2 linked regions of the Oreochromis niloticus genome follow. Each later gene encodes a partner of the first gene's protein in a complex. Links are inferred from orthologs where the notes say so. Each region holds a gene or a part of one and is shown in the gene's direction. Other genes may lie near its edges.

The links. Proteins that work in one complex are often made in the same cells at the same time.
Region 2: the proteins of map3k3 (region 1) and ccm2 are in contact, whole or in part, in a crystal structure (PDB 4Y5O), measured with the Homo sapiens proteins. The link is inferred for Oreochromis niloticus from reciprocal best matches to the Homo sapiens genes MAP3K3 and CCM2. Residues at the interface, in NP_002392.2 of Homo sapiens: Asp2, Glu3, Gln4, Ala6, Leu7, Ser9, Ile10, Met11, Asn12, Asp13, Leu14, Val15, Ala16, Leu17, Glu50, Asp82, His84, Met86, Asn88, Glu89, Leu90, Ser91, Ile92, Leu93, Arg117, Leu119, Leu121, Ser122, Gln123, Asp124; in NP_113631.1 of Homo sapiens: Leu299, Tyr302, Met303, Leu306, Arg307, Ser312, Gln313, Ile315, Gln316, Gln317, Phe318, Ala319, Ala320, Leu321, Leu322, His323, Glu324, Arg326, Glu333, Ile336, Asn337, Gln340, Leu341, Leu353, Phe356, Pro358.

The regions. Positions count from the first base shown.
Region 1 is NC_031969.2:28,854,137-28,862,059, forward strand, and holds the start of map3k3 (mitogen-activated protein kinase kinase kinase 3), read left to right. Parts: upstream 1-4,828; 5' UTR 4,829-5,365; intron 5,366-5,580; 5' UTR 5,581-6,245; intron 6,246-7,923. UniProt on the Homo sapiens protein: Component of a protein kinase signal transduction cascade. Mediates activation of the NF-kappa-B, AP1 and DDIT3 transcriptional regulators.
Region 2 is NC_031980.2:8,442,150-8,450,116, reverse strand, and holds the start of ccm2 (cerebral cavernous malformations protein 2 homolog), read left to right. Parts: upstream 1-4,847; 5' UTR 4,848-5,232; coding exon 5,233-5,262; intron 5,263-7,967. UniProt on the Homo sapiens protein: Component of the CCM signaling pathway which is a crucial regulator of heart and vessel formation and integrity. May act through the stabilization of endothelial cell junctions. May function as a scaffold protein for MAP2K3-MAP3K3 signaling.

The DNA.
Region 1 (7,923 bases):
CACACGATCACCAGACAAAAGGTTAATTATGGCAGGGAAGCTGAGCTTTAGTATGTAAACATCCCTCCATCTGTCCTATGACACATTTTAAGAGGAATTGTAAACACCTGGATAAATTGATTATTGCATGTATGCTATAAATGAGGATGTTGATGGACAGAGCTTAGGTCTCACAGTGTGTTGCTTCATAATTTCATGCTTGTCAGCTTGTTGTTGTCTTGTGATGAAGTTTTAAAAGCTGTATTATAGCGACATAAACATCCAGTCACTCTGTCCTGAACCCCTGAGTCCTTTTTCAGTTAATGCCTTCTGGTTCTCCTGTCTTATTTGCTAAATGCAACTGGACCTATTTCTTAATATAAATGTTACAATGTTACAATAGATGGATGGATAGTTTGTCACATATATGGGCACCTTGATGTGTGGCTGCATGCAAAAGCCAGTGCAGAGCACCCCCTGCTGGGAAAAGTGTGACAATAGCATCTCACATGAGAGGATAAAACTATAACTTGCCCATGATTTGAGTATAGCCTTTTATTTTCAAGTTTTTGAGTAGGATCAGCAGCTAGCCGAGCCAACAGCTTCTTTTGATCTTATTTAGTTTTAACATGTAAGAACAATTAATTCAGTGTAGATTTCCATGGTTTTATTTCATTCTGTACAAAGGATAACTCCAAAGCCATTAAATCATCACATTTTAGAAAATACCACTGACACTTGAATGGCACAAAGTACTTTCTGTGACTGAAGGTTTACTGTTAATTTGAGCTTGTTGTGCAGAATAGGAAGCAAAACAGATGGACTTTTTTTTTTAAAGAGAAGCCTTAGAAGACAAAGAGCTGACCTTATTGCTTTTTCAAAACACCTTTGAATGCACAGATCTTTACAACAAAATCTTGTGATCATGCCTTTTTAAAAACAGATCTGGTTATTGTAGAGTCCAACTCTTTAACAAAGGATTACTTCACTCAACCAGCAGCCATTTTTCCCCACCTAACCATCTTTATTCACATGTACAAAAGTTCTAATTCTACTATGTGTGAACATGTATGTTTTCTTTATGTCATTTTAAAACGGCCCTCTGGATCCCAGAGAATGCTTTAAAAATCAAGAGAATTGTATCTAAAAATGCTGTGTTTGTCATTCTCTGTTAGCAGTTCGCCAAGGTACAACTGCAAAATCTGTGAATTGCAATGTCCAAGTCTAATAGAGCAGACAAGGTACACTTTACACTGGTGCCACAAGGCTCAGGTGAATGATTGCAGTGTGACGTTTTATTGTTAAATCTGTGAATCATTTCATTTCTGTGCTACACTTGATGTGGAATTCCTTTTTTATTGCCGTTGTCATCAAGACATTTTAAATGTATGCATCTTTGAAAGTGTATTCTATATTACAGACATGACCTGTGGATTGAGGTGGCCTTACAGCAAAAGGATGCTTGGACTGTATGCAGTCTTTCTCCTCTCTTCCTCCTCCTCTCTCTTGCTTAGTTGTAGTATGGTACATTTTAAAATGTGAGCGCCCTCTTTCTACGCCAATATACACAATCATTTGTGCATATTTTTGTTTTTATTTTTTTTTACATGCTTTTGGAAAAAAATAAATAAATAAAATGCTGGTGTTGATTTAACACACTGAGTTTTACATTGTCTTTATTTGCATTTTATTTGTGGTGAAATACTTCAATCTAATAAAGTTTAGCTGTAATGGAAGTAATCCAAAAGGTAATTGGTTACATTTAAGTACAACTTTGAAGTACTTGATACACTACACTTATATTCCAATACAGTGCAGTGAAAAGTACTGCCCATCTTCCTCTGCAACATTTAGATTTATATTACAGCTTTTTTGTAATATTTTGTAATATATTTTGTTTTTGAATGTGGCTTAGTTAGTTACTGTTCTTACTGGAGCAACTTTGACCACAAAATATCTGGAATTAACAAAGTATTCTGATTATGAATATAGAACTGTCACGGCTGCAAAGCCGGTGTGTTAAAGGAACGGACCCAAAATCAGAGACGGGAGAAAACGAACTAAGTTTAAGACAAAGTGAGCCGTTTATTTGGCTGAAAAACATGAATACAAAATCCAAAGCAAAACAAACAGTAGCGAAAACAAAACTAAAACCTAAACTGAAAAGACTGGACTATAACAGCTATAACCAAAGAGAACATGAACATGATTATGAGCAGGAGCATGAGAGAAGGTATAGGACCCCTCAAAAAAAAAAAACCGTGAACTTGAAACATGAACATGCCCTGAACAGAATCATGGAAAACACTTAAAACCTGATGTGGAGGAAGGAAAACAGACAACCTGACAAAGACTGAACGAAAACACACAGACTAAATACACACAAGAGGTGATCAGGGGAAGTGGAAACACATGGGAAAACAGCTGACTGGAATGAACATAATGACAAAACACAATGAACATGGAAACACCCGACTCTTCAAAATAAAACAGGAAACATTGAGAGATGTAGACATGACAGCACAAGCTTGGCAATATGGAACACACAACAGACATAAGACATATGACAGGCTAGGGAGACATGGAACGCCAGAAGAGACACATAAGAATGGATAAAGGAGATGAGAGCACGGGCATAACTAAAGGTAAAACACTAAGGACAAGACAACTACATAGAGGACAGAAAAAGACTCATAACTCAGGAAATGTAGGTGAAACAAAAACAAGATTAAAACTCAACTAAATCCTAACTAATAATAACAACAACACAAGAACTTAATTTTCAATATAATATAAGAAATCAAAAATACAAAATAGACTCAAAATGCTGAGTCACAGATTTTGAATATATAAATGTTCAAATATATGAAGCAAGATATATGGAATTATGTAGCAAAGAAAAAAATCATAAATAACTCTAAATATGTTTTATATTATAGATTCCTGAAAGTAGCCACTCCTTTGCTTTGTTGACAGCACAGCAAACTCTTGGCCTCTCAATGAGCTTCATGATGTAGTCACCTGAAATGGTTTTCACTTCACAGGTGGGCCTTGTCAGGGTATATTTGTGGAATTTCTTGCCTTCTTAATGGGGTTGGGATCGTCAGTTGTGTTGTGCAGAAGTCAGGTTAATACACAGCTGACAGCCCTATCTGACAACTGTTAGAATTCATATTATGGCGAGAACCAATCAGCTAAGTAAAGAGAAGAGATAGTCCATCATTACTTTAAGAACTGAAGGTCAATCACTCTGGAAAATTGGTAAAACTTTGAATGTGTCCCCAAGTGCAGCGGCAAAAACCATCAAGCATTACAATGAAACTGATTCACATGAGGACCAGCCCAGGAAAGGAAGACTAAGAGTCATCTCTGCTGCTGAGAATAAATTCATCCAAGTCACCAGCCTCAGAAATCCCAAGTTAACAGCTCCTCAGGTTACAGACCAGATAAATGCCACACAGAGTTCCAGCAGCAGACAGATCTCTCCATCAACTGTTTAGAGGAGACTGTGCGAATCAGGGCTTTATGGTCAAATAGCTGCTAAGAAACCACTATTAAGGAAAAGCAACAAACAAAGAGATTTGTTCGGGCCAAGAAAGACAAGGAATGGACATTAAACCAGTGGAAATCTGTGCTTTGGTCTGATGAGTCTAAATCTGAGATCTTTGGTTCCACCCGCAGTGTCTTTGTGCAACACAGAAAAGGTGAACGGATGGTCTCTACATGCATGGTCCCCACTGTGAAGCACAGAGGAGGCGATATAGTGGTGTGGGGGGACTTTGCTGGCAACACTGTTGGGGATCTATTCAAAATTGAAGACACACTGAACCAGCATGGCTACCACAGCATCCTGCAGCGACATGCCATCCCATCCGGTTTGCATTTAGTTGGACCATCATTTATTTTTCAACAGGAAAATGACCCCAAACACAGCTCCAGGTCGGTAAGGGCTATTTGACCAAGAAAGAGAGTGATGGATTGCTGCCTGGCCCCTACAGTCACTTGACCTAAACCCAAATTATATGATTTAAGACGAGATGGACCGCAGAGTGAAGTCAAAAGGGCAAAAAACTGCTCATCATCTCTGGAAACTCCTTCAAGACTGTTGGAAAACCGTTTCAGGTGACTATCTCATGAAGCTCACCGAGAGAATGTTAAAAGTGTCCAAAGCAGTAATCAAAGCAAAGGGTGGCTATTTTCAAGAATCTATAGTATAAAACACGTTTTGAGTTATTTCACACTTTTTTGTTTACTGCATAATTCCATATGTGCTCATTTGTAGTTTTGATGCCTTCAGGGAGAATCTACAGTGTAAATAGTCATGAAAATAAAGAAAAACAATTAAATGAAAAGGTGTGTCCAAACCTTTGACTGGTGTGTGTGTGTGTGTGTGTGTGTGTGTGTGTGTGTGTGCGCGCGCACACGTGTTTCTGATTCTTTTAGATAAATTGCATATATTGTATAATTGTTGCATTACACTGCGCAATAAATGTTTCAAATACATGCCGCGCAACAATAATCCTATGATATAATGAAGTACAACCCGTTGACCTTTTTACATAAGTATTCCACTCCCTCCAGGTCCAGTACTGCTGAAACCAAAATAAAATGAAAATACTTGACTTCAAATACTTCACGTTAGATTATTCTAACGTGTCATTTAAATTCAATTAGGGAATGCACGTTATTGTTCACTCTTAAAGGAAAACATTGGATGACTTAGACGGATGAGGACTGTTAAGTTAAAAGCTGTGAATTTCGGATTTTCCAACTCTTTTTCACGGCAGCAAACGCTTCACGACGTCACAGCTGGTCCGCCCCTCCAATAATATTGTGCGCGCTCCAGAAAGAAGACTTCCACCGAGTAACAGCGCGTCCCCGCGGCTGCACGGCTCTAATTTAGATAGTTTAGGAGTCAGAAATCCCCCCGGGAATAAATCATCGTTATTACCAGCGTTTGGATGGCGGACAGTGAAGCATCTGGGAAACATGGATACAACCTTTGCGAGCCGTTTTCATGACTTGTTGGAAGCATAAAAGCTGGTTCCGGTGGCGATATTTTTTCTGTCAGGAAGTTTGACGTATTCAGCTGAAGATTATTTCTTGCTTTGTTTTGGTTCGGAAAAGTTGTGGACGACCGCTGGCTCCTCTCAACAAACGACATCTTTGTTACTGTCGCTGAAAACAGACCGAGCTCGTCTAATTTATGTTTTTTTTTTTTGTTTATTTGTTTGTTTTTAAATATCAGTTTGCTGTTTATATGAATACTCCAGGATCTACAATTTTAGAGTCTGCAGCCCTGCGAAGTCTAAACATCGATGGACTTTATCCTACTTGGCTTCGCATGACATAACGCATCTGGTTAAAGTATATAATAAACTCAAAGGTAGTACTTTTTTCTGCCAATGTCCCTTTAGTCTGTGTTATTTTTAAGTCTGAACTCAGCTCGGTGCTCTCTCAATTAAATTCATCTGCACATTTTTATAGGCCAGATCGGCCTTCGTGTGTTCTTGCCTGATTATGTTTATATCATCATTCACGTTGCAATGCGATGCAGTTATGTGCAATGCAGCAATGAGAATAAAAACATCTTCTGCCTAGAATATTTTGGATTCAAACCTGGAACCACGGTCGAGGGAAATCTGCAAACTTAGCAGGAAGAGAGGCCATCAGAATCACGGAAATCGTACGGTCTTTCCTCTGGCGAGCTGCTACCCACAAATGGATTTCATACAGGCCATACGGTTACTGTTACACTTTGGTTTGGCAGTTTTTGTTCGTATTTAACACTGTAATGGGACACGGCTCTGAATACATTTCTAAATTCATCGATTTTTAGTGTGACTTCTAAAGATGTTTTGGAAATTTAAGTTTTCCAAGGATCCGAGGCTACAACGGCGCAAAAGTTTGCCTCTGGGCCACAGCTGGAGCTGTTTGATGTAGGTTTTCCCATCGGAACATTTTCTCTGTGAGGCTTACAGCTGCCTCATGTGACCGTGCTTGTTTTTACAACCTGGAAAGAATCGGTTTGTGTGTGTGATCTAACTTTCCGTTAAAGAAGACAAGCCCTGGTACCTGGGGGGGTCAGCCCCGCCGATGGCACCTTTACATTCACTCACACTCTTTGGTGTGTTGGTCTGACCGAGGACACTAATGGACGTTAACAACAGCTGGACCTACTGCGTCATTCCTGCCGCTAGACTACGGTGACCAGTCGGCTGTACGCGGGAGAACCTCGGTCCTGACCTGACCTGCTGAGACTACAGGTGAGGGTTGTGAGCTACACCTGAGAGTAGTGACAGGTGTAAATAATGCGCTGTGTTCAGTCGACAGGGAAAAAATGTGTCGGGATTATATATTTGAAATATTTTTTTTTTTTTTAGCTCTGTCTGCCAAAAACAGAAATGTAAGCTTTTCTAATTATTTACGTGGGTCGGTTTTATTGTTGTTGTTATTATTATTATTATTATTATTATTATTATTATTATTGTTATTATTATTATCATTATTATTATCATTATTGAATAGGCTATGTCCTTGAAATTATTTGTTTTGCTGAATTAGTTGAATAAAGTCTAAGAAATTGACGGTATAAAAAGCTGGGGGGAATTGAAAATTAATATAGATTGTAGTTGCTAATATTTTCTAAAAGTTTCCATTAAAAAAGGACTTGTCTGTGACCTCTTGTCTTAATCAGTCAGGGTTGAAAATGCCATCCAGCTTTCCACCTTTTTAATTGAGAAAAAATTTAAATTCATATTCCATAGTGAATATATAACAGCTGTGCTTACTAAATTTAATAGCTTATCTTCCTCGAGCATGTGTGTCATTCCATTCTGTTCCATTTTCTGTCGTGTATCCGGGTTCGGGTTGCGTGGGCAGCCATCTAAGCCTCCCTCTCCCTGGTCACCTACTCCAGTTCATCTGGGGGACTGCTGAGGCATTTCCAAGTCAGCCAAGACATTATCTCTCCAGTGTATGCTTTTTCTACCCTGGAGCCTTCTCCCAGTTTGGACATGCTCAAAAAAACCTTCCTAGGATGGGACCTGGAGGAATTCTAGTTAGATGCCCAAACCGCCTCAACTGGCTTTTATCAATATGGAGGAGTAGTGGCTCTAATGTGAGTCCTTCCCAAATCACTGAGCTCCTCATCTTTTCAATAAGGGAGAGCGTCAGGAAGTTTATTTCCACTGCAATCTCATTATTTGTTTTGGTCACTACCCAGAGGTCATGACTATAGGTGAGGGTAGGAATGTAGATCTGTGCTTTCAAACACAGCCCTCTATTCACCAAAACACCCTGATCACTACAGACACTGAGCCAATCTGTGTGTCTATCACTTGCGAACAAGACCTCGAGTTACTTAAATGCCTCCACTTGGGGCAGCAACTCGTCCCTGGCCTGGAGTCGGCACTCCACCCTTTTCTGGCTGAGGTTCATGTATTCAGACCTGGAGGTGCTGGTTCTCATTCCAGCTACTTCACACTTGCTTGCAAACCAACCCATGTTACGCTGGAGATCACTGCCTGATTAGGACGGAAAAACCACATCATCTGCAAAGAGCGGAGACGTGATCCTGAGACTGCCATAGCTGAAGCCCTCTGCCATGTGGCTATGCCTTAAAAATTCTATCCATAAAAGTCATAAACAGAATCTGCAACAAAGGGCCAGAAGAACTGCCCTAAACTTCCAAGTGATGCTGCAGAAGCATGTCAAACAAGACAGCCACAAGTTCAGAGTCTTAAGGAAGTCGGGGCAAATTTCATCCACTCCAGGGGCTCGACCTCTAAAGAGTTTTTGACTACTTCACTAAATCAGTCACAGTAATGGGCCAGTCACCCCTCCTTGTCCCCAGAGTTTGCTTCCACTACAGAAGGTGTGTCAGTGGGCTTGAGAAGCGACTATATCCTCTATTGAGGTCAGCAGAACTCCATCCCCATTGTA
Region 2 (7,967 bases), on another chromosome or scaffold:
TTTTACATATTTCTACAGAGCAATCACCACTTTGTCACATTCTGTAACTAGTAACAATGATTAGCTAGAAGCCAGATAATAAGCGGATTTTATGTATTTTTCTTTCAATTATACACGGGTCTCAAGAGCTAAGCTACACACAGGTTTAAGCGGGAGGAGGAAGTATACTATTTCGTGTAGCATTCAGGCTGCCACACTTTATACCATAAACAAGGTCACAGAGAAATCCCTCGCACAGGACAGTTTCTGTTAGGTTACCTTCCAAACACCACATCGTCCGAGAGCCACAAAACACAGCAAGAGGATTTGAACAGCAAAGCTTGCTCTTCTCAGTCCTTGTTGTGCCTTGTTACTTTGGGTGCTTCGAACCAGCCATGGCAGCCAGGTCCGCAAACAACAAATGCCAATGTCTTTCTTTACTTGTTTCATGTGCCAGCACACCCACCAAGATGATAACACCAAACAATATTCTTCCTGTCTGTGACCCCTTCCCCCCCCCTAAACCAGATCAAGCCAGGTTCCCAATTCTGTGAGCTAACACCTCCGTTGACAGTGCTATTTAGTCTTACAGTTTCATCTAAGATGTCATCTTGAGGACTGCGCTGTTTCCTCATTATGATGTTACATCTGGACTTTAATGTGTGACAGAATCAAGTGATGGGTATTGTGTGAAACCCAGTAATTGGTTATGTCAAAGACACAGGAGAAAAAGTAAGGCAACACTGAACATCTTCTGTACTTGAACCCAGGGTTCCTCATCTTTTCGAGTATGACGCCAACCACAGCTGATTCGGCGAGTAACAATATAACAGTTAATAGTCAGTTTAAAATCGTTAGTTCTGAAGTGTTTGATGGAGAGTCACGGTCGCAGATAACCAGCCAAGATACCGAAAGATTTGGCCAATGATTGTTTTTGTACTTTCGTCTATGCCTTTACATCTTCTTCTGTCTTGCAGTTATGAATGATTTGTAGTGCCAAGGCGTAAACTTTCTGTGTCGTTTTCTGTGTCTTGTGTGAACAATACGTCCTCTAGCCAAAACAAAAATGCCTGCGTTTAGAATACAACGTGGAAGAAACTGATGACAAAAAGCGCAAAAAATCAGTTGTTACGTCTTCTTACTATGGAATGATCACGAAACAGGCCCAATCACTGCTTCTCTTTTGAATAACCTCATTTCCTGGATTTTCTACCACCTCCCAGCATGCCTTTATAACTCATCGTGAGGTGACCCTCAGCATTTAGCATGCAAGTGCTCTCGACTGCACAAGAAACCCTCTGATTTTTGCATTAATGTGTAGCAACAGGCCATTGTAGTGTTTGACCTGGTTCGAGTCTATACCTTTGTGTCATGACCATCCGTTTGGCCACAGGGGCAGAATGTTCAGATGTTAAAAAACGGTGCATTTTCGTTCTCTTTTTAAAAAAAACTTTTGTTCCTTCTTTACGTTTTTGTTCATAACCTGGTGCTGAATAAATACATTTAAAAAGGTGCTACCGCTGTGGACTAAGAGTCCACTCTTTGGCTTTAGCCTTCCAGTTGACTGAGAGATCCTGCATATCACAAACGTGCAGTCTCAAAATGCTCTACAGCCAGCACCTCAAATCCACACAGTTTACAGCAGAACTCAGCTCTCAGTGGTGCCATTTTGATTTCCCAGTCTGCACAAAAAAACAAAAAAAACAATAGTTACTCTACTGCTCATATAAGATTTATTCTACTGGGTTCCGCATACAGTACGTTTTTGTTTTACTATAATTCAGTCTGCACTAGGATTTTTTCTTTTCGGACAGAATGAAAATGGCAGATGACAAAATGCATCTTTTTAGCAAATACACAGGAGCACAAATGTACTTCTGCTACTGGAATTTGGGTAAAATATATATATATAGAACGTGATTGCTGTGTTGTAAATTCCTGTCATCTATATGTCCTTAATCTGTGTGTATCTATTTCTGTTGTTATTGTAGAATTGGCTGTAATATTTTGTTTGAAAATGGATTTGATATTCCAACGAAGCGACTATGGTTGTCATATTAATTGCTGCTGATTTTTTGGAATCGTTATCAAAGGTGTTGGGAAATATTGCTTTGTTTATATTCAATCAATTTATAGGTTGTGTTAGCTTGTTGGTGTATTTCACAAATCTATCAGGATACTCCCTAGGCTATATGGTATATCCGGGGTATTCCAAAAGTTGGCACAATGTTAGTACTCAAAATTTGCTACGAAATGTAGCATGTTTATGAAAGTGGACCCATACGACCCATGTTGTGATTGAGTACATATAAGGAATGATTTCTTTGTTGTTGTTAAATATAAAATGTAAGTAAATTGTTTCATGGAATCCCCATTCTTTAAAAAAAAGAAGAAGAAGCAAAACTGATGTCCAGTATTGTACCTACGCCCTATTTTTGGGAACAATATGAATATTATTAATAACATATGGTGCTAAAGTTTTTTTTGTATGTTTTGGTTTTTAGATGAAAAGAGAAATATTATGCTGAAAATGTAATGTTAAGCCTTACTGTAGATTCATATATCAGACTGTTCATCCCAGAAGAGAAAAATAAATATAGTATTTGAAAGTGCACTATATATCGGTAATGTCTTCACATGCATGTCTCACATTTTTGTCAGATGACTGTGACTGCAGTCGGACTTAGAATAGAATAGAATATTGTCACTATACGGTTGTACAATGAGATACAGAGCGTCTCCTACTCAGTGCAAACATGCTGGGGGTGGGGGGGGGCACAGTTCTGTAGCACTATATACATATGGACAGTATTAACAGAGGGAAAGAAATATATATAAAATGTACAAATATACAAGCTGGTTTTAAAAAAGTTATATGTAATAAATAGTGTTATGTATATACAGTTGGGTTATTGCACATAGAATTTGGTATTGCACAGTGGTGGTTCACTTTTTTACCAGCTGGGGTAAGAAAGGAAAAGCTGTTTTTGAACATGACCCACATAGGTTGGGATTAGTAAGTAACAGTAAGTACAACTGTATGTTCAAGAAATGCTTCACAGTAGAAATGTACATCCTTTAGTTGAGCTTGTTTAAACCCTGCAATGGCAATGAACCCTGAGAATGAACCCTTACTTAAATATACTGTTTGGTAATTCCAGTAATTCAATTTTTCATACTGGGCTGAAAATAACAGGCTCTCCGGAATACAAGACAAAATGCAATACTTTTGCAGATCCACTGCAACTAAATCAAGTAAGTGTATCTTCATGTTTGAACTTGGACTGTTAAAGACAACTGGTAAAAAAACAGTCTTTAATTTTTATGGAGATACGCAAAATATCAACTAACACTCCAGAAAAAAAAAACACATTACACAAAAGGTAAAAATTGATTTGTATGTTATTGAGTTAAATAAGTATTTGATCCCCAAGCAATTCAATTCCATTTTATTTATATTGTGCAAAATCACATCAACTTTGAGTTTCCCATAAGGAGCTAAGCAAAACATGGCTTACTTGGTGGGGAAACCCTTTTTGGCAAGGATGGAGGTAAGACTTTTCTTGTATAGCTGGTCACTCAGGAGGAATTTTGGCCCACTCCTCTTCACAGAAACTCTCTAAATCCTTTAGGTTTCTAAATAAATTCAGTCATTTTTAAATGTTTCATTTTAAAAAAAAACCAAAATCGATCAATATGTAAATATTAAACTACTGGAGTCAAGACGTTTCCATCGATGACAGCCCATTCACAGACACTTGTGTAATTTGCCTGTAGCATGAAGTCATAGCTCATGCACAGGTATACAGCTTTAATTCTGTGCACACAGAAATGTTTGATTTACAGTTGTTTAACACTCTTAATACATACATAATTCTGTACAGTGAGGGTCAAAGATCTAAGAGAAGAAACCGCTGGAAATTTAATTAGAGAAAGAAATCACTGATGACCAGTTCCTCACAGAAAAAATACAGCAAAGAATAGCCTTCACCTGCTTTATTCACCTGTTTGGGAAAACAGAGCCTAAGTACCACCATTGAGCTGTCCCTCTGATATAATCCTTTCTAATCCTGCTCCTCCTCATCACTCCCGGCAAAAACTTTAGCATCTTTAACTTTGCAACCTACACCTCTGCTTCCTGTCTTTCTGTCAGTGCCACTGGCTGTAAACCATGCATCATAGCAGGTCTTACAGCTGCGTCACAAATCACCCCTGACACTCACCTCCACCCACTACACCATGGCCGTACTCTCATTTTTCCCTATTTTGTTCATTGCCTGTTGCTTTGAATGGCTGACCCCTGGTATTTAAACTCAAGCAGCTTAACTACCTCTACTCATATTTACTCATATCTACACCTCTACTCGTGCATATTCACCTTTGCAACTGCCCCTCTCATCGACACACATGTATTCTCTCGTTTCCACCGACTTTCATTGCTCTTTTCTCCAGTGGAATTAATACAATAAAAAAGAAGAATATTTTAAAAAATTCGGATAACTAAAAACTCTCAGAGTCATCAGCTGTTAGTCAATCTAATCTCTGATGACTTCACGTCAGTGGGGTATTGTTTAAAAATCCAGCGAGATTTGTTTTTGACAAAGAAGGCTCAAACTCGACTTTAATTGAATAAATCCCGGGCAAAGAGGAGTACATATGAAGCAGTAAACGTAAAGCATTAAAAACAACGAAGAGACCTACCAGTTATATAAAACGCAAACACCCTCTAAACTGAGCTGAGATTATGTGTTTCCATAATTCATTTTTCACTGCAGTTAATTGCAAATTACTCCGTTCGTGAAGTTGGTTTCTCCCATCAGCCGGCAGCACTGACAGCTGTAAAGCACAACAGCTGCCCTGTTTTGGTTTGTGCAAACCAAAGCAAGGCATGCTGGGCCTGGATTACAGTTAAACGCCCAAAATGGCGGCACAGTTGAAAAGTTTTGACTGTTTTGTTGGAGTTTGTCTTCTTCACAAACTATTTCTTTGACTGTTTAAACTGCACGAAATCGGCTTCATTTTTTCCACAATGGTGGGGCACCGGGATTTTTTCTAATGGTTGAAGAGTTACACAAGAATTAGCATGGCGTTTTGGTATCAGCTCAAAATCGGGCATCACTTTGCCAATGCTAGGCTTGGCTAAGCTAGGCTAGCAAGCTAACTGGTCTTAGATGAGTGCTTGGCTAAAACCTTCACGTCTCACCTGGGTCTATAAGCTGAAGTGAATATGAAGATGAAAATCTTTCCATAGAAATGGAGGATGATGTGAAAAAAGTAAAAAAGGTAAGTTGGACAATTTGCGCACTTTTATAGCAGATTGACTACCTGCTACCTTATTAGCTAAGCTAGCTGAGCTGGTAACTGGCTAAGATAAGTAGCAAACTATCAAGTAAAGTTTAGCTTACGTTAGCTGACCAGCGGACTGGGGAATCAATCCCAATACGACTCGGACTGATAGACTGTGCTTTCAACCAGCCGGCGTCACTTATAAATGAATAGAATGTGCAACGTACCGAAAGGATTATAGTAAGAAACAAGTAAAGTTTGGGAAGTTGTAAGGGATTTGCTCGCTTTATATTTTCGTGCGCTTAAATATAGTGGATGTTCGTTATGGAAAATATGGTGTATTAACAATTAGGCGAATATATTATTAGATATTGGGCTTTAAACAGCGAGCTTGATGCTGGTATACCTCAGTGATATTGTTCACCAAAAAGCTAATGAAAGCACAACCGAGTTTTCCAAAGTAATAGCTCGTTGATATGGCAGGCATGGGTCTGCTGTCAAAGGCAGCTGTTATCAGTGTCAGTCATGCTAAAAGGAAGAAGCACCGCTTGGTCGTGCCAACAATCCTGCCCTCACACAGTGATACACTGATACAGTACATGCTCCCGTTTGATATGGAGGCAGGTCGTTACAGTAAACACACGCAGCAGATAGTTGTTTGGGAGACACTCCTTTTATCCTGTTCATTAGAGCAGACACAGGGAAGGCTATTGCTCCTGTTCTGTTGGCTGGAACAGGAAGAAACGGGATGGCAGGACATGAAAAAGAAGCATAATGAAAACTGAGATGTCTGACGCTTTGTTATGATTGTGTTAGTCATTCAGTAGTTTTTTCCACAAAAGGGACACTAATCCGTCTTCCTATCTAATTCAGCTTCCTCTTGATGCAAGGGGAAATTTGGGAAGAAATCCAGTGATAACCTAGATGGTTTGTTTTCTCAAGGACATGGTTTTCCAGCAATGATAACATACCAGAATGTGCACATAGCCCGATAAGACATAATTTCCACTGAACCTTACACCCAAAATATCTGATCACTAATGATTGTCCAGACTCCAGTAGGATGCTTTTTAACCACAATTTTGTAATGTCATTATGTGGAAGTTGCTTTTTACTTCTCATTGCAAATCTGCATTATGAGTGGACAGTGTTCAAACAGCTGATCACCTATTTACCATGTGGTGCAATGTTACTAGAGTTTAAAAATTTAAACATGAGTAGTGCAGTTCCTGTTTGTACCACTTGGTGCTGACTGTGGATTACATTTGGCTGAGATTTATTTTATGGAAAAGCTCAGTTGCACAAGTCGATAAAGTGTTGCTATTATTCTTCTGACTGATACATTAATGGATCCTCCTTGTTAGTATATTTGTCAGATAGCGAGGCATTAAGGCAGGTATTCTGCAAGCAAAGTCTAGGTTAAAAATTACCGGTGTGTGCCTTAGTGGAACATTATAGTGTGAATGCTGAAAATGCGCATTGTTTTGAGTTTCTGTCATCCCTGATGGGATGAACTGCTGTTTCATCCCCTTAGAATTATACGTTTCTTTATGGATTCTAACCAGTTTTGAGATATTATGTTTTCAAGTTTTTGCAGTCCACATCGCAAAAATTACATGTGGAATAAGTCTTACTCACATATGATTATGACACACACCCTACATGTATTTTAAATCTATAGTCTTGAACACTATCAAATTTATAAAGCTTTTGAACAAGTGAAATGCAGATAAACCTTTTAATTCTACCAACTGTTTTTTTTCTTTGGAAACATTAGGTTCTTTTTACAACATGTGAAATCAGATTTTCAAGTAATTATAAATGGTTAACTTATAATTAGTTTTAAAATGTACAATTAGTAATGTAACAGTCTCCACAAGTATGATTAAATCAAATGTAATGCATTCTGTGACAAGACAATGCTTAAAAAAGTGGCATCTTTTCAATGAATAAATGAATGAATGAATAGAAATTGTAAAAAAAAAAGAAACACATTTCAATACCCTCATGCTAGCCAACTGAGCACCAGACTCATTTCATTTCTCCAATCAAAATCTTTCTGGTTTCAACATGTCATCAAGTTCTTATTGGCTCGTAGATAGCACCTTTTAATGCAAAGTTAAAGAATCCTTTTGCAGAAACACTTTTTTTTCAAAGTTGCAATTGAAAAGTTAAAAATTAAATACTTGCATTATTTTTAAGTTGTCAGAGAATAAGAATATTAGAATAAGTAAGGTTTGACAAAAGTGTCAGATTGGACCTTATGATTCTAAAGGGGACACAATGAAGATTACACCTTTTATGAATATTTCATGCAGAAATTCTGGTAAACCTCAAGGGTCCTCAAACTTTTTCTACAACTGTATATGGTAATGTTCTTGAATACTTGACTGTGAATGGTTCATTCATGAGCAAAAGATGATTATTTGTAGGATTTGGTTGTTATTCTTAGGCCGAGTTTCTGAATAGGTCTCAGTGAATTGGCCGACTTAGCCGGTTATTTTCCCTCTCTGAGAATGCTGGCTTCTCTTACAGCTGGTCTAGGTTTTCTTGCATTGTTTTGAAGTAAATGTGAAAGTCTATCTATACTCATTATTGTCACACCCCACAGAAACTATGCAGTTTCCTCATTTATATGTATTTTATAAATAAAAACACACATCAGCTTGTGGCCATTTATGGGGTCAACCATAGTCTCACAT